Linked DNA regions of Drosophila melanogaster. The protein of the gene in region 2 interacts with the protein of the main gene of each other region in a pairwise test. Each region holds a gene or a part of one and is shown on either strand. Other genes may lie near its edges.

Region 1 (7,790 bases), on a different chromosome or scaffold from region 2:
TGGCTAAAACTGCAGTGGCACACCTCGCTGGGGCTATTTGCATATGAATAGCAAGCAGGTGGAATGGCATACATATCGGGGCGGCCAACGCTTATGGCCACGTTAATGGCAAACTAAACTGCAAACTTTGCTTTTGCACCGACGCACGCATACGTAATAAAAGGTGTAAATGAGCAAAAGAACCGGCTGCCATTGGGCAGGTGAGAAAGTGGATGGCATGTTGTATGTAAGTGGGTGGAATGTGGGCTGAAAGTCAGCCAGGTGAACAGGCAGCCAGACATGGACTTACGCCTTGGCCCATTATAAGGGCCACTTGCTGCCGACTAAGAAGACAGCTTTGTGTTTATTTCACCTGCACATTGGTTGTTGCTTTGGAATTTAATTAATTTAAATTTATTGAATTAAAAGTTAAATTCGATTTAATAAAGAACGGGGTGAACAGGAAATCATCTGTCGTTATTTAATTTAATTTTCCTGGTAAACCAAACTAAAATATATTTTATTACATAAAACTTCATAGATTAATAAAATATAAATAAAATGAGTTTTTTTTTGGTAAATTTCAAATACTTGTATAATACTTAATGCACTACAAATTCTGAGAATACATTTAGTTAGTAAAACTTCTCTTACTTGTAACTACCATCCACTCACTGTGCCGTGTGTGTATTAAACTAAATTTAGCGTCACTTTGAATTACGGCGCTGGCGGTGACGATGACTTGGTAGCCTTGGCAGCCGGGCCATTACAATGCAGAAGCCGGAATAGTCATGGGCTGGGAGTTTCGTGGGCAGGACGAAAAGAGTCCTGGCACAAGGACATCATGTTTGCAAATTTATGTAGTTGTACAATAAGTTGTGCCAAAGGAAATGCCATAAAAATGGGAAACAGAATTGTGCGGGCACCGAACAAGCCGGACGGACAGACAGACAGACGGACGGATGGATGGCTGGCTTGACAAGCTCGGACGCGTTTAAAGTGCAATTAGCGCACGTAATTGTAATCGGGTTGGCCAGGTGGCACCACCTGCCACAGCCCAACCACTTCCGGAAGGCGGTGACTCCGGCTTGCGGCTCCACCTTGCGTCTGCCAGCCCACGGGGTTGGGCATTTTCATTTTTTGTTGCTATTTCGTTTTGGCTGCCTTTTTTTTAAAGGCAACCAGGGAGCTGTAAATAAATTTGGCACTTAATCATATTTACGGATTTCGTGGGCACATTTATTTATGTGTCCCACAGTGGCCGCAGCTACTTACTGCACTTTGCCAGCAAGCATAGTGATTTTTTCCGAGGGCTAAGGATTTCTTCAGCCGGATGGAAACACAATACGGCCAAGTCCAATTTGGGGCCCATTCTCAAGAGTAGAGTCGGACCTGGGCTTTATGCCTAATTATGCGTTCCGCTGGCATTGTCATGGATAGCCGAAAATCCGAAATCCAAAATCCTCGCCGCCCACGAGGCTAATTAGGCCCATAGCGTTGGCCATTGTGCCAAACCGTTAGACGGGCGTATTGTTAACTCGAATCCACACCACCACGACTCATCATCAGCCACGGGGTTCACTCACCTGTTCACATCCGCTTTTTCTGGCTTTATGAATATTTCAGGCATTTAAGCCTTGGAACTGATTTATTTGCAATTTGATGGCCAGCGAAATAAATAAACCAATTTCGGTTTTCGGCCATGTTTCGCTGGATATGTTGCGGTCGCTGCGGGTTTTGTTTAATTTTCGTAAGTGTTGTACTCGATGTTTATGCATAATTTGCGGTATGTTTTGATCGGTTGCGAAGTAAACCGATAACACGGATTTGCCTGTTTTGAAATGTTATTAAAAAATAACAAATAAAAACAGACTTATTCGGATCGCTGCTTTTCAAAATAAACACTTTGAGTGAATCTACCTTTTTTTTTTCTCCGAGAAATTCATTACTCTGTCTCATCGCTCATTTCATCGATATTTGTCACTATTGTTGTGCCTGATTATTGTTAAGTGCAGGTGGGCTGGCGAAATGGAGCTGCGCGGCGAATGGGGAAAAACTGTCACTTGAATGCATTTTCATTACACCTCATTACATTTCACTTGCATCTGCAATTGTGTCATGTCGCCGGCTTTCGCTGCCGCTGCCTTCGAGCCTATGAATACGGGAATACTCGCAATGAAAACTGCCGAGCGAATGGATTCGTTAGCTGAATGGGCTGTGAGTGTTTTTAATTGAAAACAATAAAGTTCTGCTGGGGGAAACTGGGACTCCTTCCAAACAATGCATGAAATGTAGACGCTGCATCGTGCTGCATACCGCATTTCTAATGCTCTTCAAGTTTCTTAGAATCTGCTGTAGGCCTAGTACTAATATAATAAAGTTATCACAACAAGATATATAATTTTTTACAATACTTTCTTAAAAATATACATTAAAACCAATCCATTGAAACGTTCTACCTTTATTCAAGCTATATCTTCTCATAACTTGTTGGCAATGTATCTGCGATACCTTATATCTTACATTTAAGATACATTTACTCGCTGAGAAGAATCTCAGCTAAAAGCTGAGCATTCGATGGATTGTTCCACTCGCATTCTTTGTTTCGGGGAGAAATGCAAATGGAAGTGGAAATGGTGGAAATGGCGGTTATAGAGCCGCCGTAGATGGATAGATACGAGTCGTATTCGCGCCAGACAATACACTCGAATACAAAATGCGAATGCGAATGCGAATGCGAAAGTGATAATTAAAAATCGCGCCATATATACTGGTTACCAGATATGCTTGTTGCCGGCCGATTCTCTGCTCGTTGTTGTTTTCCCCGGCATGAAATGGTTATTGTTTATGATTTTCCAACGCTGTCGAGCAGGATGTTCGCATTGCAATCACCACTGGTTTGAGTGAAACAATCGATGTGGGTGTGGCATGTGAGCATGTGAATGAAGTGATCAATGCGCCTAACAATGATTGACGCCACTTCCCGCGACCAGGGGCGTCGCCGTGGCATGGGGGGAGGCGCCATGAAAGGGCTGTCGAAGATGGCGCGCTTTTCCACAGCCACGCCCCTTTCCAGCTCGACTGCAGCTGGCAAACAATTATGCAAAATCGCTGGCGTTAGCAGTTTTATGCAGAAATTAATTTTGCATTTTTAATTTTACAGCTCCAGTGGCGGGCGGGGGCTTTAAGCAAGGGGAGCCCAGCTAAAAACAAGAAAAAAAAAAACGCTGCGACAGCAATCTGCACTGCTCACAAAGGATTGATAAGGGTTAGACTTGGATGGTCGAACACTTAAAGAAAAAAAAAGCGAGTTTCTAGATATCTATATTTATGCAATAAGTTACAAATATCAAAGTATTCACATAAATTAGTATGTATTTAGGAAAATATATTCTAAACAGTATGTCTACATACAATATATCTAAAGTATATCATCTAAGGGATAACATATATAATAGTATAATAAATTGGATCAGGTGATAATATGATATTCGAACATATTACGCAAGGCTTCTTGTCATTTCTCAGCTAATTCTTAAATATCAAACAGCAAATATAAGCAAACAGCTTAAAAACTTAGAAAAATATAGTACGTACTTCCTTTTTTTAAGTGTAGCTATGTAAACATCACGCGTTATTTAATCTGGTCCATCAATTTGGCCACGTACCCCTGAGCGTGGGCTTCTTGCTCACCGCCCTAATCAGGCACATCATTCCGCAATCGGAAGACATAGTGGTAGGTTGCTCAAGATGTTCCAAGCGGACCGCCGAGATTTGCCCAGCCAACCGCTTAAGTTGGCTCTGCCAAAGGAGCAGGATCAGTCGCGCCTGGTTCAGGTTCCCGATCCTGATCGTCGGGACATGCAGTTTCCAGACATTTGGCTGCGCGATAATTGCCGCTGCGAGGAGTGCTATCTGCCACAGACACTGAGTAGATTGCCCCAGCTGTGGAACCATCTGGACACCAGTGTGCGGGTCCTGCGGCAGAGCGTGGACGTGGACCAGAGGGTCCTGTGTATAGAGTGGTCCGATGGACATACCTCCCAGTATCCGTTCAGTTGGCTGAGGGAGCGGGACTTCTCATACGCGAATCGCCAGCGTTACCTGCGTGACTTTTACCGCCCGGAGCAGAAGTTGTGGAGCGGTCTGGACTTTGAGAAAATCCGTCAGGTGTTCTACTACCAAGAACTGCTCGATTGCGATTCGGCGTTGCAGCAATGGCTCCAGCATCTGGCAGTTTACGGAGTGGCCATGGTCAAGGAAGCCCCTCTCGATATGGACGTCCTTCGGAGATTGTCCAACCGAGTGGGCTTCATGAGGCGCACCACCTATGGAGAGGAGTTCAGTGTTCGGGCTCAGCCTGGAGGCAGCAACTACGCCTACTTGGCCGCACCACTCCCGCTACACACGGATATGCCCTACTTTGAGTACCTGCCCGGAGTGACCATGTTGCACACCTTGGAGCAGTCCGCGTCGCCCGGGGGTGTCAATCTGCTGGCCGATGCCTTCTATGTGGCGGAGGTGATGAGGGAACGCTATCCGGAGCAGTTCCGGGTTCTTTGCCAGACTCCCGTGGACTGGGCGGACATCGGAAGCGACGGCGATCTGCAGTTTCACAATATCTGGAGGGCACCGGTCATCAAGTGAGTAGATTTAGATTGGGAGTCCAGTAAAGGAGATTTATATTGATGGAGTTCCTTTGATTGCTTAGGGCGACTTAAGAATACATTTAGGTGCAGTCAGACTATAAAAATGCTTATTTTGAGTTCATATTTTTCAAGCAAATTCTGCACTTTTAAAATCTATTTTTCTCGCAACTTGAAATGTTTCAGTTATCTTGAAAAATATTTCAGATATTTTTAGGTGGAGGTAACAATTTGTTGACGAGGGGAAATGCATAGTTGCCCCAGCAGAACTTGGCTAACATTTCGATCTCTTGCAGCTTGGACGCGGAGGGCCGGTGTGTGCGCATCAACCACAGCATTCCGCAGCGCGACAGCCACTTTAGCGTGCCGGTGGAGCAGGTGCGTCCGTGGTACGAGGCGATGGCCACCTTTGTGGGCCTGGCCCACGAGCACTCCTGCAGATTCAAGACCACGCCCGGCGACGTGCTCACGTTCGACAATTTGCGCCTGGTCCACGGACGTACCGGGTACGACGACACGGACCGCAATGTGCGCCACATTCTGGGCGCCTTCGTTGACTGGGACATTGTGTACTCGCGCCTGAGGGTCCTGCGGAATGCCAAAGCCACCTGATGCTCCTTAGATAGCAGGAGCAGCAAGCACATGTTATGTTATGGCTACATTAATTAGCCATCTATCAATGCCAAAATGCTTTGATTGACATCGCAATGTGGTAGCAATAGACAGAGTAGAATCATTAGATTACTTTCGAATTTATTGTGCTCGAGAAATTAAACCATTTATTGACATTTTGAATAAATACTATTTTAATGGTTTCTAATCCTTTGACACGCTTCAATGCTAATTGACATTATTTAATTGGGTTAAACGTGTGATTTAAGGCATTTTGAAGAGGAAGAAGAAGTCACTCGAGAAGTTTACTAATCTGTTAAACGTGAACATCTCTGGCTGATAAGTAATTCTATTAGTTTCGCTACCCTGTAAGAAAGTGACATAGGAATATTAGACTATACGCTGATATTCAAAACTATAAAATGTATTATTCATTCGTAAATATATAGGTAGAATTTTGGAGACTACTATAAGTATTCAATTCAACAAAAATTGGAAAATATTAATTTAATTTAAAATGGTAAGAGTATAAATTGCTTCATGAGCAATATTAGATAACCTAACCTAAATTACAGGGTATGCAGGCAAATCCGTGATTCAACAACTGCTAGCCAAACAGGCCACTGGAAGTGAAAGTCCAGCACACGTCATTGTTTACGCCGGGCAACAAAGTGGCTTATCAGTGGCCAGTTGAGTCAAATTTCAACCAGTATGTCCATATATATGTATATGTACAATAGGTATATATTTCTATTATCAATTTATGGCAATGCCCAGATCAACACCGACTTGGCAGAGCTCTTAGCTCTTGGCATGCGAGTAAATCACACCCACACACCTTCATGATTTTCATTGGACTGGGAAAACTTGGCTGGAATGTCGGGGTGTTTTCCCTTCGCTTTTCTTTTCGGGTGTTTGGGTGCGGTGTCCCGCAGGCAAATCCTTTGGAAATCTTTTTATTTATGTCATTGATGCCACCAGGACCAAGTGAGGTAGCAGAGGAAGCAACCCGGCATCCGACAGCCAGCAGCCGGAATCCGAAATCCGAGTTGGAGCACATGAATTTGTACATGGCATCGGGTAAATCCCTCTAATAATCCACATAATAAGCACTGGAAGTAGCTGTGGCAGCAACAGGCCGAAAGGGTTGTGCCCCGTTTCCCTTGTTTATAAGTTCATAAAAGTCAACGGGCCGGGAACTTCGAATGGGAGACGATTGGGGAGGGGGCAGGCCATAAAAAACGAGCCAAATGCAAGCGGAAAATGCCCAAGAAGAAAGAAAGGCAACCAGTCGCAAATCCAATTTCTTCGGAATGTGTGCGAGTTTTCGGGGTAGTTGAAATTTTACTGCAGTTTCCAGCCAGACCGTGCAGCAGTCATAATGTGTAATTGAAAACCTGCTCTGAATCGCACCCCTGGGTGGTGTACCATATACCTCTTACCGACTTAAAAGGATACCCCTAATTGGCCAAATGGTCAACCAAGACAGGAAGTGTGTGAAATTCTCAGGTATCTTGATGTCATTTAGAAAATAATAACCTAAAATGTACGAACCTTTATAAAGAGGTAAAATAATTATATTACAAATGAAACAAAACTACGGTTATGTTGCTTATGTTAAACGCAAGAAATCAGTCTTGTGATTGAAGACAAGCCTAAAACTTGACGAAATATTAAATTATATACTCCATATTTGAAGTTCAGTGCACTTATTTTACTTTGTAATTGAAAACTTCAATCTCCATAATTCGTTTAGAAAACACACATCCTTGACCCGCGTTGTGTCCTTATCTACATTTTTCCGATCTGCCATGAAAATGAGACCCAATTTGCAACCATATGCATGATCATAATGACCCCCATATTATATGTTTTTTTTTTTTTGGCTAAAGCAACAGCATTTGGGAATATTTCAATGGCAGAGAAAGGGTTTGCCAGCATGACACTCGCACAATCGCCAAACTAATACGCTTACATACGATTTCCACAATTTCCGCCGCGGCTTCTTGGCCGCCATCCTATTCCTATTGGGATTGCGGTCGGGTTTGTGTGCCAAGATTTTGGCCAGGACAATGCCAAGTTTGGGCTGTCACAATGATAAACATGCGGCAATTGACGCAATCATTGTCTGTCCATGAATTGAATTAAATCAACTCAACTCAGCTCGACTCGATTCGACTCGACTCGAGTGGGTGGCCCATCATCGTCGCGCTGACACTTGCAAAATCAGCGAAGGACATCTGTATTTTCTAGCCTGTGATTCTCGAAAATTAATGCCTTCGTTATGCTTGGCGTGCCATCGAAATCAAGCCACAACTATGGGTTACAGCGAGTGATTGTCATTGCGAAAGGAATGGTCTCGTGGTGAACATGGGTTAAGGCTGCCTCCTTGGGTAATGCCCCATAATTCCGATTCCGTTGCAGGACAGCGCATTTTGCTTATTAGAATCCGCTTGTGCTGCTCTCGTCGAGGATGTGAGCTCCTTGATGCCGCTGGAGGGTAATAAATTCCCGTTCGTCCTGGCAGACCCTTCGTCCTGGCAATTTCCAAGT
Region 2 (8,555 bases):
GGATTAAAAACCAACACTAAATTAAAGGGAACAAATAAATAAAAATAGCGAACAATCAACGAAAATAAAAAAGAAGTAGGCACAACTAAGGCAAAGAAAATAAAAAAAAAAAACACTCAGTGCCTGTTAACGGACTTGTTGACAATAAACATACGCCCACAAATAACTAATCTCACATGCATGGATACACAGAAAAAAATATTAAATATTTTTATTATTCTATGATTAACTTTACATTTAAATACAAATTGTTTAATGCAGATTTTGAAATAGAATCAACACATTTTATCTGCAGAATTTTAAAGTTTTTTTTTTGTTTTAACAATTTAATGATCTTAATAATCTTTTAGAAAATGTAACCACAAAAATTCAGTTTAATGATAAGTTTATATTTATTAAATATATATTGTTCTATAATGTTTATGCCAGTGCAATGGCATGCATAAATAAATTTAGCAAAGTTAATTGGAATAAGGGAGTTGAAAGCGCTGTTTGCATGCTCCCAAAAAAAAGGGAAAACAAATTTCCAAATCTTTTGCTCTCCCTCCCACTTTTCCGTTTCCGAAAATGGTGCAAAAAGGGGAGAAAACAAACAAACAAACACTCACAAACTCTCTTCCGCATTCCGTTTGTGAGCTCTTGTGCACTTGATTTTCGATTTGCATTTCTAAAATGGCCCATAAAAGTGCTAAAACTAATGAAATGGCTTTGATTCAGTTGATGGCCATTGCCAGTTTGTAAAAATAAAAAACGAATTAAACAATTACGAGAAAGGTGTGGGCAGTTTTATCAACGGCGATTCACTTAAGTTTCAGCAGGAAAACCTTTTAGGCCTTGGCACTAAAAATTAAGCTGAAGATACACAGGACGTATACGTAATATAAGTAACGACTTTTGAAAATGTACCTAATCATTAAAATCATTAAAATGTATGATCGTGATCATTAAGCAGAAGTTTTCTTTACGTATGCTTGATATTTAATTAACTTTACAATTCGTAAATTTTCTTTTTTACTACGTACAATTATATTCCACAACACCACCGGGTTAATAACAACCATTATTACGCTTGGCTGCATCTGCTCAAAAATTAAATAAAAAACGGAGCTAGCAGGGGAAGTATAATAAATTCAAATAAACTCACGAGGACAATGGCAATGGTTGAAATGTGGCCCGCGGATACGCAATGTGCCACAGGCACCGGAACCGGAAGTTCTGTACAGTGTGTACCAGGACCAGCTTAAAAACAAAAAAATATATATACGAAGAAAAAGAAAATGCCAAACACCCCGCGAAACATGGCGGCAAACAAATGAGCAGACGGCGGTGGGCGTGGCGCCTTCTGACAGGCAGCTTAATTAAGATGGCCAGGATAATGCAGAAATTAAGACACAAAATGCCACGAGAAGGACGAGCAAAGTTTTGCCAGACGCGAAAGTTTTCCCAGCCAAACGAAGACATATCAGACCGGATTTTCTCCGAATTTCACGAGCCACTTCGATTGGAAAATGCCAGAATCACGAATCATTTGATAAATTTATTGAACTTTGTCCTGCAGGCGCATTGCACACAAATGTAGCCGATAACTTTATGGTTTTCCATGGGAAATACAAGAACTATTTTATTTAAAAAGAGGAAAACGGAGAGGTTATCTCAAATGATTCAAAAGTAGGTGTATCTAAAGGGTCTTGCTGTATTTTGTTTTTCAGTTTATAGCTTTAATGATCTATCTAGCTTTTTCGTTTTAGTTTTATGACTTATATAAATTTTCATGTAATTTTCAGTAGTCTTTTTTTGTAATTGATTTATTTTCAGATCGGTTTAAGCCACTTTTGCATCACTGGTTACGCCGACATCCTGGCAAGTGCTTCTGTTTCCGCTGCGTCTTTGATTGCATTCGACTTTTGGCTGCAGTTCAGGCGCCTCTATCCCCTTAAATCCCTTCGCCACCCCACTTTTCCACCCACTCGACGACAACAATATTGTCCTTTTGGCTGAAATCAAAATGCTGGAAAGTTTTAGCTGGACAACGTAAACATAAAGTAAATGCAGTGCCAAAAACAAAAGTCAAGTCCACTCCGAGTGTCCAACTGCACTTTCTGTGTGTGTGAGTATCTGTGTGTCCAAAGTATCTGTGTGTCCAGAGTACCTCTATATGTGTGTTGGCTTGTTGATGCGTGTGCATGTGATCTGCTGGCTGCGATTAGAAAATGATTTACACCTCTGGCTGCAAAAAAAGAGAATTCAGGATAAAAGATGGGCCTTACAACGTCTGCGAAACTGGTTGGAAGAAGAAGCTGATGTTCTTCTCCCTCTCCTTCATCTTCTTGTTCTTGGCCAGCTCTGCTTCTTCCCAGTATGCAATTACACATTTTATTATTATTAACGTTAATGTCGCCCATGGGAGGGCACTAACGCCCGGCTCCACATAAAAGGCGCTTATTAATAAGAAATTGCAATAAACTACAAGACACAGCAGAACGTACAGCAATCCGTTGCTACACTACAAGAATTTTGCATATGTGCTATTTCGCGCAAGAAAATGTAAACTGAAATTAATACATTTCATTTCGCAGAACCATTTTTAATTATTCTTATACGTTCTTTATTTTTATATATTAATTATTCATTTAAGTTATATATGAGTAAATTTGTAATGCTTTTAGACGTTCAAGGCCACACTTTTTTTAAGTGCATTCCGGTACGCTGGCGCTTAAAGGAGCAACAGCTGGCGTATGAGTGAGAGGCCAGACGGTGGGAGAGGGGCACCGAAACAGAAGAGAGTGTGAGAAAGGGAAAGAGAGATCCCAGCCGGCGAATGCGCGGCAAAAACAAAAGGCAACGGGAGAAGCTCGGCGAAACAGCTGGCGAAGAAAGTCGCTCTCTTTGGCTTATCTCTTTTTAACCCTCTTCTGCCTGCCATTGCTTTTCTTAACCCTTGCGTATCCTTGTTGAGAGTAAATCAAGCGCTCCACATATTTTATTAAGTTGGAAACCAGTAATAAAGTAGGAAGCTCGCTGCCAGCTGCAGCTCACACACACACCTACACGCACACACTAACCGATGCACTCTTCTCCGGCGCTGGGGTTGCTGTTGTTGCACTGCCTGCTGCACGCGCGAAAATGCTAAGTTGCCAGGAGCGGATTCAGTTGGTTGGCTGCATATATGACAACCAACGAAGATTTTCTAACTCAGTATTAGTTAGACCATCATTTCGAGAAAACAGAAAAGTATAAACTTTTTTTCCGTATCATCGCAGTTATGAACCAAGCAGACTTAATTTTTTTTGTAACAAAACTAATAGATCGGCTTAGATTGATGAACTAACAAAATTAATCAGGTAACCGTATTCCCATAAAACATTGCCTACTTTTTCGGGCATTAGGTAAACTACAATATAAACTATACCCTGCACCGTTTTGAAAGTGATCCGCACCTGTTCTGAAGCATTTTCTGCTCTCTCCCTCGCTTCCCTTCTTCGATCCCACTCTTCGTAGAGGCTCAAAACGTGCGCCTAACAAAATGCCGGTTTAAGTTTTGCGTTGTTTGGCGTATACGTAATGCAAAAGGAGAGCGAGAGTAGTGTGCCGAAAACGAGAGAGTGTGTGAGAGAGCGGAAAAGAGCGCGCGCGTCGCTAGTTGCTTTTCGTCTGATTGGAACTCCAAACTCCAATTCCAGCTCCAACTCCTACTACAAATACAACTACAGCTCCACTGCATCAGCATGTTGTTGTTGCTGCTTTAGCTGTTTTTTGTTTTTGTTTCATCTGGCAGTTCTTGTTCCTTTCCTTCTGCACTCCATTCGCACACTAGCTCAGGTCCACAGCAGCAGTCAAAGCAATAGCAGCTACAACTGCGCAGCTATTAAATGTTTTCAAAATACCAAAGTTCTTAAAAAAATATGTATACTAATTATGTTTTTTTGATAAAATAATGTTTAAGCTATTTCAAAGATTGAAACCAATTTTATGGTTTGTGATGTGCATTGTTAAATTAAATTACTTACTTACTTACACTTACTTTTTAGCAATACTAAGTTCACAATAAACGTCGCTTCCATTCAATCATTAACTTAAAACAAGCTCTAAGCCATTTGGGCATTAATTCTTTTTCCGTGCCTGTGGCGAGCAAACTGCATTTGCGGCACTGCCGGCGTCGTCGACGTGGGGACGTCGCTGCGTCCGTGGGATTCGGCCGCAGTTGGATTTTGGTGCTGCTCGCGCGAGGACGTCTCCTCTCCTTAAACTTCTGCTGGGGCTCTCTTCGAAGAGAGCGCTAATCCTGCGAAGAGCGTCGTTTTTAAGTCGCGATCAGAAACAACAGTAACCACAACCTGGTGGCCAGCAATTCTTACCAGTTTTTAGAAAGAGCCACGAAAAAAATGAAGTAGTGTGAAATATTATATTTTCATTTTGTGTGTGCGTGTGTGTGCGGTTTTCCTTTAATTTCGTTACACTTCTTTTTTTTTGCGATTTTTGTTTATGTGCCAAACTAGTTTCGAGTTCATTGAATTTGCGGCGCCGTTGTCAACCGATCGTTGCTGAAAACGTAAGTGCAGCTTTTTAAGTAGCTAAGGATGCGTTTGCCGCAGGACATTTGCGGTCACGTGGCAGCTGCCGCCACCTGCGAAAACCGCAAAACGAAAAAGCCGCCAAAACATTAGCACTTGAATGGAAAAGTATTTCGCAAATTAGTTAAATAAGGGTTATAAAAGTGGCAGAAAAAGTATTTGTAGTGCACCAAAATTGAATATTTTTTTCCTTAGAACTGGAAGCGTTGTCTGTGTTTTTTAAACAATAATTGGCATGAAATTTCAAAAAATCGAAAATCATATACTTGACCGAAAAAAAAAGAAAAATATTACGTGAATTTATTTTATGTATATTAAGTTGTAACTTTAGGGCTTAAATCGCGATATAAAGTTTTCACATATTATATTTTCTGAACATCTCTTTTTAGACACTTTCTTAAAATACAAATAAATTTCAGAGTTGTCAATTTTTGGGTGAGAGCAGGTTTCCCCTTTTTAGCAGACTCACTACATACATTTATATTAACAACAATAACTTGGCTCTTTTGTCTCACAAGCAATTGGCTCGAAATGTTGTCGCGTCGCCCTTAGCTGTATCCTTTGTTTGGTCCTTGGCCATTAGGATCCCTTTTAATTAAGATGAATAACTTGCAGTTTTTATACGCCACAGAAATCGAAATTTCATCGCCGGCATTTGGTTGTTGCTTTATAAAGAGCTTTAAAACCAAACTTTTAAAGCATGGAAATAATTTAGTTTTTGTCGAAATACGTTAATAAACCTTCAGATAAGATTTACTGTTTGTTTATTTGTTTGTACAATTTATTACTTTGTCCATTTTTTTTTTTACTTTTTGTTGTACTTTGCTAGAAGTTTCCATCTCAAAGCGTTAAGTTTTTCTAGCATTTTGGCACAGCTTAAAAGTTGGCAAGTGCCAAAAGTTCAAGCGCGCTGCTCACCTTTCAATTAGCCGGGAATTCAGAGCGAATCTAATTAGTTGGCCAACATGGTGGTGGAAAGTGACGAGTCCTCTGATTTCCTGGCTCCCTGATTGCTTCCAAAAGCTGATCGATCATCAAAAGACACAACCGCCACGCAAAAAGGTAGCAAAAAGTAAACAAACTAAAAATCAAGCTACCGAAACAAAAAATGTACGAATTCTGGACTGTCGAAATGTTTTGGCAGTTTCAGCAGGGTGCTGTTAAAAAATGAATTCAGGAATTTCAGAAGTGTGGCCAATCATCAAACTGAATGAAGAAAAAAGTGCCCCTTTGGTTGACTCTTCCTGTTACATTTCACAAAGAAACATAAACGAATAGAAAGGAAAGTTGTATATTATAATCTTAGATATATTAACCGATAAATGTCAAAAATGTGTGTGTGACACGCAGTAAAGAATGTTAAATTGAATTAGGGGAAAAAGTATTACAAAAAAAAAAACAAAGTTCTTTGAATACCAGTTCATTACATTTTTTGTACATTACTTGACGAATGTAAGGACCTTTTAAGCAACCGAAAAATGCAAACAATTTGAGCAGCCCTCCGCTGATTTCGCTTATTAACTAAAATAAATCCGTCCAAACGGAAAGGTGCAGAAGGACAGGGCCGTTGGCCAAGTGCTACTGGCCAACTAGCTGACCATTTCCCTGTTTTGCCTTTTTTTTGTGTTTTTTTTTTTTTGTTAGCCTAGCTGCTGCTGCTTTATGTTTGCCTTTTATTTTGGCCACAAGTTCTAGTTAGTACGAGGCGGACGAAGGCGAGTTCATAGAGCCAAAAGAACCGGTCTTGGAAAGTCGTCTAAATGTTTCTCTTACCTTCGGGCACTGCAAGAAAAAACTAATTACGAAATAAGAGATATATAAAACATTTGGTTTAATGTGATCAGACCATCACGGTAGATTTAACTATCTTGGTGCGCTTCGTCACAACGTGGACTGCAAGCCTAAAAGATTTCCTAATCAGTATTACCTAACTATTAAAGTCATGATAAATGAATTAATGAAAATGAGGATGTGCTTCTCGAAAACCAGACTCGGCATGAAGTTCCCATGCTTTTTTATCAGTGCACCTTTTTATCCCCGTCCAAGTCGAAGTCCGAGACTTTTCGATGTCGATGCTGAAGGCCCACTAAAATGTCTGGCTGTGTGAGTGTGCGAGTGTGTAGTGGCTCCTTCCACGGAGTATTCATTCCCAGAGGAATGTGTTAAAGTGTCTAAAGCTGTTTGCCTTCCCCCCGAACGCGCCCCCCCCCTCCCCCACCTCAACCATCCATCCAAATCGCCAAATAGAAAATTCTGAACTCGAGGAGCAGCATAAAATACAAAGCCGAACGCATCAGAATGGCAACGGCGATTTATAAGATAGTCCCACAGAGCGCAGAGGAAAAATAATATCAAATATCAGGGCTTAATTGATTTTTTTCTTCGCCTTTTTACCCCTTTTTATAATGGATCTGACTCATTTGGTAGAGCTTATAAGTTATATAAGCATCATAAAAAGTACATGAAAGCTTTTTAATGCATCAAAATGTTTTTAAAATATGAATTTGCTATATGTGCTCCAATAATCTGTTAAATAGTAAAGTTAATTGCATGTGATTGCTGTTACAAAATGTTGTAATAAAATAGAGAAGGATGTACAAGGCTAAATTGCTACCTTAATATATAATAAAACATACAAGTTCTTAAAAAAAAAACGAAATCTAAATATTGGGTACCTCAGTTTATAACAATCTAATTAACTCCTGAAGAGTGAAATTAATCGCAACTAGTCGAAAAAATGTGCAGGACCTGAAATCATTATGGGCTAAAATTTAAGCAAATTGAGTTTGAAGCTGCCTGCTTCCCAGTTGATTCTCCTTCGCTCTTGCCTTGTTTGATGATGACATAGTATTTGCCCAAGTTAATGGGAAAATGGGAAATGAGTTAGCTGTGGAAAGGACAGTGAGTGGCGAAAATGTAATGCTGTCTGGGCAAAAATAACAGTTGCTCTGCATATTATTATTTTTTTGTATACACTTATTAATTCTCAAGGCAATAAGAACGATAATAGCTACAGTGCGTCACAAAATTGTAATTGGAATTATATTTCAATTAGCTTCATAGATTCTCAAAAATGAGGACTTTACATATTTTCAGAAATTATGAATTTTACATGCAGTAAAGACTAACATTATTTGTGGGCAATATACTTATGGCTGATACCTTGCAGCTCCTAACCCTAGGCCTTAACTAGATCCTCTCCCCCGAACGTCCCTCGATATTGAACGGGTTCTAATGGAGTTTTTAAATAAGTAATCACTTGCTGTTGTTGGCGGGCAAGGAGTTTCGTCAAAGGCAAAAGGCGACTGGTTAACGGTTAAAGGCGAATGCAAACATAAGCCCAGACATTGCCACGCCCCCTTAACCCTGTAGTTAATTAGAATTCCAATACTTCTGATGTAGTTAATAAAGTCTCAAAACGCAGTTGGTCATTTTATCTTTATTTGGTTTTTATTAAGCGAGTCTACATTCCAGATCTATTCCTGATTTATAACTGATCTTAGTGTGGTCTACAGGCAGATCTCTTGTGACAGCCAAGTGCTGACACTAGCAAATTCTGCAATATGTATGTATGAAGTTCATACTCGATAACCAATGGGAGTCGAGTGCGACCCCTAAAGGCGTACATGCTGAATTCGCATATTTAGTATTAGGGTGTATCTAAAGATCTACTAGGGTGACCCTAAGGAATTAGGGTGGTCCTAAGTTTACTTATTAGTCGACTTATTATTATGATTCATATTATAATTATTATTAATATTATTATTATTATTGTTATTATTATTGTTATTATGTTCGTATATACTACAACCCTTTGACTGCGCCCGCCTCCGCGCAATTTACAGGTTAACATGGGAACAAAGAGAAAAAATCGAGCACAGGAAACTCGGACCCTAATTGATTGTTAACTCGTGTGTGGTTCGCAATATTTTTTTTTGTTGCCTCTTGCTTCCCCTGAAAAATTGAGTCGCTGAAAATGCGGGG
Region 3 (8,451 bases), on a different chromosome or scaffold from region 2:
CTTGCATTTCGGTTTGTCTGCGCGTTGCAGGGAACTTAAAGCTGAACGTTTCGATACACACATAAAGCATTTGTTATTCACTAATAGTTACTGGCGAAGAGAAAATCAACAATCAGTTAGTTTCTAGGATATGGGGCTTGGTGTTTCCTTAAAAGGTGTTAGGAGTATTTGCTCGCACCGGTTGGGAATATTTCCCTTATATTGTCTAACTAGGTAAGTAATAAATACATCTAGGCGTGGGGTTTATTCAATACAATTTGATACACTTTGGTAATAAGTATGATATAATCAGCTAACAGCTATCGACCATTACTTTATCTAAAACAAACTCAAAGAGGTGGCAAGGTCAAGCCAAATCAAACGGTTATCAATTTGTCATTAGTCATCTGCTTTGGAGTATCTTTGGTTACTTCACATATATATGTATGTATGTATATTTCATGTTCCTTGCTCTATATTTATGTGTATAATACTAGGCTCAGTTTGTTGTTGTAAGTGGTACATACAAATTACACAGAGTTTGGTTTGATTCTCAATTTGATTTCCGTTCATCATCTTTGAGCGCATCGTTCACTATTTTATCAGTAAATATCTTGTGTTTTGCATTTTGTATTTTTGTAGGTATAACACTGTATTCATCTCAAAAGTTCATTAAAATAAATGCCTTTTAGTTTGTTTGCTGGCACTTCAGTGCCGAAGTGTTTGTATCTGATAATGTAGTGTAAATAGTTCCTTGTTTAGTTGGTGGTGGGTGGTGGGGTCTGGGCTCAGTTAGTAGTTGGTTAGTTAGTTGATTAGTTTGTCTTGGCTTGCCTTTGAGTGTTGGCTAAAAGAAGGGCCGAAAGAGGTTTGAGGAACCCGCTCCACTGGCGGAGGAGTTTTGAAGAAGCTATTCGGAAAGCTCTAAATCATTTCGGAATCTCTTGAAAATTCGCATGCGAAAACAGCACATATGCATACACATTTCGCAGGACTCTAATCCTGGGTCCTGCGACCGTGTATGCTGCTGCTTGTATTGGTATTGCTATTAGTTTTTGGGCCCTCTCAAATGACACTCATGCGACGCCTGCCATTTCCAGTGCCCTCGGCTCAGTTGGCGTTGGCCAGTGTCTCATGGCACACCTCCATGTAGTCCGGATCGTGCATGATGCCCTTTATCATGTCCTTCAGCATTGTGTAGCGTGGAAATATCGGATACATCTTTGAGCTGCCGTACTCTTCCTGCGTGTTCAAATACGGATTAGAATAAAATGTGAACTTTCCACCGGATGCCACTCACCTTCAACACACGGATGAGGTGTCGCAGTCCCAGATACTTTTTCAGCAAGCGATACAAGTCGTTTATTAGCTGCGTATTCTCGTGTTCGATTTGCGCAGTTGTCATATCTACGAGTACATTTATCTTAAATAGTTTTCTCTTTTCATTGGACAGGAGGCTGACTTCACTTACGTTCCAATCGCTCCATCCGCTCCCGCCGCTCTGCCGCCTCCTCTGCCAGGCGGGCGGAGGTCTTGACTCCCTCGCCGGACTTCTGGGTCTTCTCCATGATCGAGCAGGCCCGCATCACGTAAGAGGGCACCGTCTCCTGCTTCTCCTGCCGCGGGATGTCCACCAGTGTCCAGTACTGGGTCTCCAGGCGGATGACTTCCTGTGGTTGGTATTATATATATAGCATTAGCTTCTTAAACGGAGGGTTAATGACACCCTTTTTACTGACCTTAATCATCAGCTTGAGCATGGGATAGCGCTGAAAGATGTTGCGCTGGCTCTTCGAGTCGCCGTACTTGTTCATGAGGTTGATCAGGGCTTTCTTGGCGGTCTCGTAGGACTCCTCCAGGCGAAGGCGCAAGGATCGCAGGCGCTCGTTCGTCTCGATCACCTCGTCCCGCGTCATTCCACTGGGCGCCCCCTCGTCCTTCACATCCTGCACGATTCGGCGCACACTCTGCGTGAACTTGCCCACGAAGTTTGTGGTTGCTGAATGGCGAAAAAAATTGTATAAATTAAGTGATAAAACAAAATACGTAAATATATAGTAGTTAATTGTACGGAAATTGCACGAAACACTGTCATTCATAATCGGAATTTCAGTAGACACGCGCATTAACCCTTAATTAATCTGCGATTCATGCGGAAATTGTTCGGCTATGGAAAAGTCAAACTATTATGCCATGATGAAATCGCATCGTACGCGCCACATTTGATTAAAAATAGATTTTTGTCACTAATTTAATTTTTTCCTTGGGCTTCTGGCTTCGGCGAGAATCGAACCCACGTCGCAAAACTTTTTGGTGGTGCATACAGCAGATCGCGCTAACCGGAGCACCACGTCCACTATCATAAGGCATCTGTTTTATGATCGATTTGTTTGCGTCGCTCTTTAGAGGCCTTGAACTCATGTAATTTTTACAATTTACATTTGGGGGATATTTGAAAATATGTTTACCAAATAGAACTGGATGTTTCGTTAGTTTCTTTCAAGGCAAGGTAAAAAATTGTATAAGGACTATTTTGGAAATCGTCTTAATTTCAATTACTTTTCTTATTATTATTATTTCAAAAATGATTTATTTACTTTAACTGCAAAATTTTGTATATAAAATTGTTTCCTTATTAAATATAATATGATTTATAAAACGTAAACGTACGTATTTGAACCAATAATTAAAATAATAATTTTTTAACGAAAGAATTTATATAAATAGTATTTTATTAAACCACGTGGAGCTTGTGTATGACAGAACTAATTCAAGTCTCGATTATTTTAAAATTAAAACTTATGATTATGTAGTAACGAAAAGTAGTAAGAATCCATAGCGTTTAATGAACATTTTCAAGTAACGACAAAATTCAAAAAATTGTTGACTTCCAATGGCGTCATAAAACCTCTTGCAAAATTTTAATTTAAAAGAAACATTAAAGTGTGTTCATTTGCATTTCGGTTTTTATTGGTCGATGGGTCTACATTTTCACGACGTCCATTATGGCAACGAATGGGAAAACTCCAGCCTCAATTGAGAGCCGTTTAATGAGCATTTCGTCGAGATGGCGAAAAGTGCAATTAGCATTCGTCATTGTCAGTCTGTTTCTGCGTCCGTAAAGTCATGCAAAACGTGACATATCTCAGTACAGAAGGGGCTCGTTGATGGCTGATTCTGGTGGTGACTTGAAACGCGGCGAATTAGTCGGCGTTACATCTATATGGATTTGGATGCACATTCTAATTGGAAACCCGGCCATCTGTGGATTCAGACAGAGGCGTGCCCTTATGCGGAAAGTGCACTGTCAGTTTCCAGCTGTGAATCATAATTCCGGCACAAGGAACCCGCATTGTGGGTGTTTGGAAAACTCTAATTGTCTCTGAAATTACTACGGTCAAGGACTTTGGCCGCTGACGCCGATCGTGACGTATCCACATGCAAAGACTTTGAGCAGTTCGGTAGTAATCACAATAACTGGTATGAGTCTGGTGCTGGCATTACAATGGATGTATTGTTGTCTTAAGAGAGTGGCAAAGAGTACACAGCTCGTTCGCTCTTATTTGCTTATTTAATTTTTGCTCGGCTCGAAGTTTATACATATAGTCGAATGCCAAGAGGAATATCATCAGTGCAAAGTCGAAAATCTGGCGGTAAACACTGCTGTATCGCGATCCGCGAGAAAAACATAAAAAACAAAAGCAAAACAAAAAACGAAAAAAGAAAAAACAAACAAAAGTGAGCACAATATATGATAAAATCAAAGAAAGGCAAAATAACAAACGAAATATATACATATAACGCATACACTGGTATATGTAGATATATAAGTACATACATCGCGCCGAAATAACTTTAGAATAAACAGAACGCCAATTGAACTGAAAATACATGTGTCAAATGATGAAATTAAGAGAAACATAGAAAGGCTCTCTAAGAACTGTTGTTCATCCAGTGCGAAGTTTTGAAGTTAAATTATTGTATCTCGAGATCGCAGCATATCTGTTTGTTCCATCTGCGCTCGATCGCAACTACATATCCATATCTGTGAGGCATGAGCTTTGCGAGCGTTTCGCCTCATGATTGGCGTATCGGTAGCGGCTTGGCAAACTCGGCCAATGTTTATCGACTCGCTCTCGACCAGTTGGCCTTTTGTGCTTTTTGCCAGTGCAGCAATTTCTGAAAAAATCGCATTTAATTCGTGTTTGTGTTATTTATCCCTCTCCCTCTCAGTACTTCGATATTGCCCTCGGTTTTTGCCGGATTGCTAAATATTCAAATTTTTATAGAATTTTTTTTTTTTCAAGATAACATTAATGGTGTTTCTTATTACCTCATATTTCGAATGCGTGCTTGCTTTAGTAAAGTAAAAATTTTTATTTCTTTATAACGCCACTTTAAAAAATAGAGATTATTTCTATTCGCCTATGGTAAAACACTCTCATGATAACATTTTTAATTCGTTGTTGAGCAATTGATGCGAAATTTATGAAAGAATGTTGCACATTCCCTCGAAAGTCATATTAATTTTTATAATAAGAATAATACTTGGTAGTTTTGTTATATTCAAAATTTTTTAATAATGAATATATACACATTTCAAATAAATTTCATTGAAGATTTTTTTATTTACGCACCTATATTTTAATGTCATTAGCAAATGGCTTATACTTGATTATATGTTAGGTAACAACAAATCAATAATCGAAGTACTGGCGCTGCGAGCTAATATGGTAATATGAAAAGCCTTTAACAATTATAGAGAAATGCCCATTGTCATTGATCAGAACAGCCGTTTAGGTGGGAAAACACATCTTTTAGCCAGTTAAACTCGTTTCTCTGACTGTGGGGATGCAAACTGGATCTGTAACAGATCTTTGCCCATATCTCGAGGCTGAGGACCCTTCACAAGTAAGCCGCTTGCTCTGTTTCACTGGCTGGTCGACTGAACTGACGACAGTTCATAGCTGATGATGTACTACATCAGTATCACTTATTCGGTAGATAAATTGGGGCGGTGGGCTGGTGGGTTGGGCGGTCGGATGGCGGCGGGACTAGAAACTCTTTCGACCTTCCCACCCAACCCACTGATATCAGCGAAAACGACAACCCACAGTTTGTTTGACTGCCGAGCGGAGGAGAGACGGCTAATGAGCAAAACGGCTTTTGTTTGTCTTTTTGGCCCCAAAGTTTCCCATCGCTGCTCTTCCTCGCGCTTCCAGCTAAGCAGAGTACCTGCGTAAACCAGTTTTTGCTAATTTGACAAAACACAAAGCAAACAAAATGAAATATATAAAAAAAGCCGACATATGTAAGCTTTTCGGTGCGGGGGTCTGGGCACAAATATGCTGTTTGTCTTTGGGCTTTTGCTGCTTTTTTGAGAACGAGTCTGAGACTAAGAGCACATAATTTCACCAACAGCAAACGAAACGTGTCGTCGTGCCGCTCATTGTCTTCATTGGAGCTGAAAGTATCTGTAAGATACATTTCGCTTCGCACATAATTAAAGCTCTGCACGTGTCTACACAAATGTGTGGGTGCCTACACTTGTGTGTGTGCCCTTTTGGTCCACAAATGATTCAAGTTCAGACGTCTTTAAGAAGGGGAACCCTGTCTTTAGTTTACGCTTCATTTTTATTTGAGCCGTATTTAATTGTTGACTTTACTCCTCTTTATTCTTTTTCTGTTGAAATATTCCCCCTTAGCAGCTTGCTGACGTCGTCTTAGCCTTATCAGTCGTAGACTTTGGGATTTCCAAAATACCTGGGCTTCCACTGATATTACTCATTGCTCAAACACGGGTCATGAATCTTGAGTCTTTAAAACTTGCCCATGGCTCATCGTGGTCACTTTCCAGAACGCAAGTGTTATTTATAAAGAAAATAATTACCCATTAAGGCATACTATGATATATATAAAAGCAGCGGCAACCGTTTAATTGCATGTTGCACGAGCTAACAAATTGCTCGGCCAGTCTAACTTGGCTTGTATTAAATTTTCTTTAAGCCCAAAGCCACAGGCACGCGTCGAGAATTGAGGTTGGGTGATCACATACTATATTTCCCACGACCCTTGTGGCTTGTCACTCCTCTTACTCACTTACAACTGCGGTGAGTGAAATCATATTTTACTGAGATACGGAAGCCGGGAAATTCCTCGTTTTATGCACTGCAAACTCGTTAGAAGTTCTATTTGCATACAGTAAATAGTAAGAACTACGGTTTATGCCATGCAGCAGTTTACTGAAACTCTGACGTAATCGAATTCAAAACCAGTCCTACTATTTGCATACTCCATTTAATAGCTGTTCTTTGTGTGTGTGTTTTTTTTTTTTTTTTTGGCACTAAACATCACTCTAGCTGTCAACGGCCTTCAGTTTTCATTCGAATACCAGGAAATTTCGAGCACCTAAGAAGTCGTCAATTAAAACTCGAGTTTCCATCGTGTCTAAGTGTAATTTGATCGAAGAAATTCAGCAAATTCGTATAATTAAAACGACAAATTAATGGTTTTAGATTGATTAGGTGTTGAGTTAAAGCTCTAGTGATGAAAATGAGTAACTTAGCTAACGAACTGCGATTTCCAAATAAGCAAACAAATCCATTTTTTTTTTTAATATTTTATGATTCCTAGTTATATTTTTTCCAACCACATACACATTTGTTGTTCAATTAAACTTTATTTTTTAAAGAAGCTGCCTTCTAATTGTATAATTATAATATCATTGTCAAGCCGTGAAACCACAAATGAGTTCATAAAAACAAGTATAATTAGACAAAATAGCGTGTGCCATTTAGATCTAAGTAGCGATTTTAATATCCGCTGACTAATGAGCAGCAATTGTTAGATACACAGCCACTGAAATTATGAATGGGTTCAAAGTTTTGGAGCTCAGGAAAAGATCACTGAGTATTTGGTCATGCTCAGTGGCTTAGATGGTTTTATGTCACGAGGATGAGATCATATGTACGTATATAAAACCCATGAACAATGGCTCTGGCTGACTCTCTCCCAATCATTCTTGCCACCCGAGCTCATCGCAATTACCATAAGCCATTGTCTGCAGCGGGAATCCTGATGGCTAATCACACTAAATTAAGTTGAAATGCGAATGATTCATTTGCGAACTCACATGTATTTACCGATTTTTGGACACGCTTCACATTTTACCTGCCGAAATTTCGCATTGTTTGTCACACTCGATTACCGCTGACCTTCCGGCGACGGACGTGAATTTGTATGCAAAGGGCGTGGCTCGACCCCGCCCATCAATAACACAAACTAAACGTCTCGACCTCGCTAATCCCGGTAGCACGTGCTGTATTACCAGCACTCCCCGAAACCCGTAACCCGAAATACGAAATGCGAAACCCAAGCCCAATCGCAATCCCCATCCCTGGAACCATCGAGTTTGCTCAGCGTGTTTTAATTAGTTCGGGATGGCAAGGACTAGCTTCGCATCGCAAAACGCTTTCGGTTTGACTAATTGACCGAATTTGGGGCGCTTGTTGGGGGCACACCCCTGCCAACTGGCCCATCAATCATCGAAAAGTCGAACATTTCGACACGCCTCTGATTTATTGAAATTGTGCAAGGTGCCCCTGCATTTCGAACGTAGTCAAATTGTAAGCTGCAAACTGCATTTCCATGAATGTGTCATATGGATGCCTAATCCTTGGGATTAGTCACCATTATTGTGGTTGACAAATGCCAACTCAAATGGAGCACAGTATCATTGTTTATTGATGGCAGAGATCTGATGAATGGGAAATTAGAAATGCTAAAGCTGTGTAAATGTTTTCCAACAAAGTAAACCGCATGAGGCAATACGAGATGAGCAATGCTCTTGCTCGGCAGGTAAATAGGTTGGCCCCACCTGTAAATAATCCACATGAAAACCTCAAGTTAAGTAGATTTTGGGCCACCATTTTTGTTTCGGCCAAGTGACCGGATTGGACCGCATCTTGGCAAAAGTTTGTGGTCATTGGACTTTCGGTTTATGGGTCTCAGACAGGAATCCACAGATACTCGCTGAGTTCTGTGGGCCACATAAATGGCTCAATCAATAAGCAGCTACAATTTTCGGTCAAGTTGGGATCTTAGATTTGACCATAAATTCCGGGGCCCAAATGACAGCTAAAGTTTCGGCTCAAAACGCCAATTTGCTCGCTGTTAAATTGAATTGAAGCGTCGAATTCAATTATTATTTGAAAATTTCCAGGTTTAATGGTGGCGGAAGCTGGTTCCTATTTTATGGATATATTTAATATGCACTACGGCGCATTGCTATAAGGCCACTTAAAATTTAATGTATGAATCTTAGGGGCCGTAATGGCTCGGAAGGGGGGAATGGGGATGTTTGCCTGAGCATGGCATTTTCATTAAAACTTTAAGTCACTTTTGGTGCCGTTATTTGATGCTACTATTTTGCATTATTCAAGAAACTGCCGCCCTCGCCGCAGTTGAGCAAAC

Evidence for each region.
Region 1: the proteins of CG43658 (region 2) and CG10814 interact in a two-hybrid assay, tested with the Drosophila melanogaster proteins (one large-scale study listed by BioGRID).
Region 3: the proteins of CG43658 (region 2) and hdly interact in a two-hybrid assay, tested with the Drosophila melanogaster proteins (one large-scale study listed by BioGRID).

Annotation. Positions count from the first base shown.
Region 1 is NT_033778.4:13,373,628-13,381,417, reverse strand, and holds CG10814 (uncharacterized protein), read left to right. Parts: upstream 1-3,686; 5' UTR 3,687-3,729; coding exon 3,730-4,622; intron 4,623-4,921; coding exon 4,922-5,237; 3' UTR 5,238-5,443; downstream 5,444-7,790.
Region 2 is NC_004354.4:17,556,823-17,565,377, reverse strand, and holds the start of CG43658 (uncharacterized protein), read left to right. Parts: upstream 1-4,197; 5' UTR 4,198-4,549; intron 4,550-8,555.
Region 3 is NT_033777.3:20,910,692-20,919,142, forward strand, and holds the start of hdly (hadley), read left to right. Parts: upstream 1-3,604; 5' UTR 3,605-3,717; intron 3,718-8,451. Other genes in the region: CG31191 (uncharacterized protein), read right to left, coding at 1,090-1,221, 1,280-1,386, 1,451-1,649, 1,719-1,978.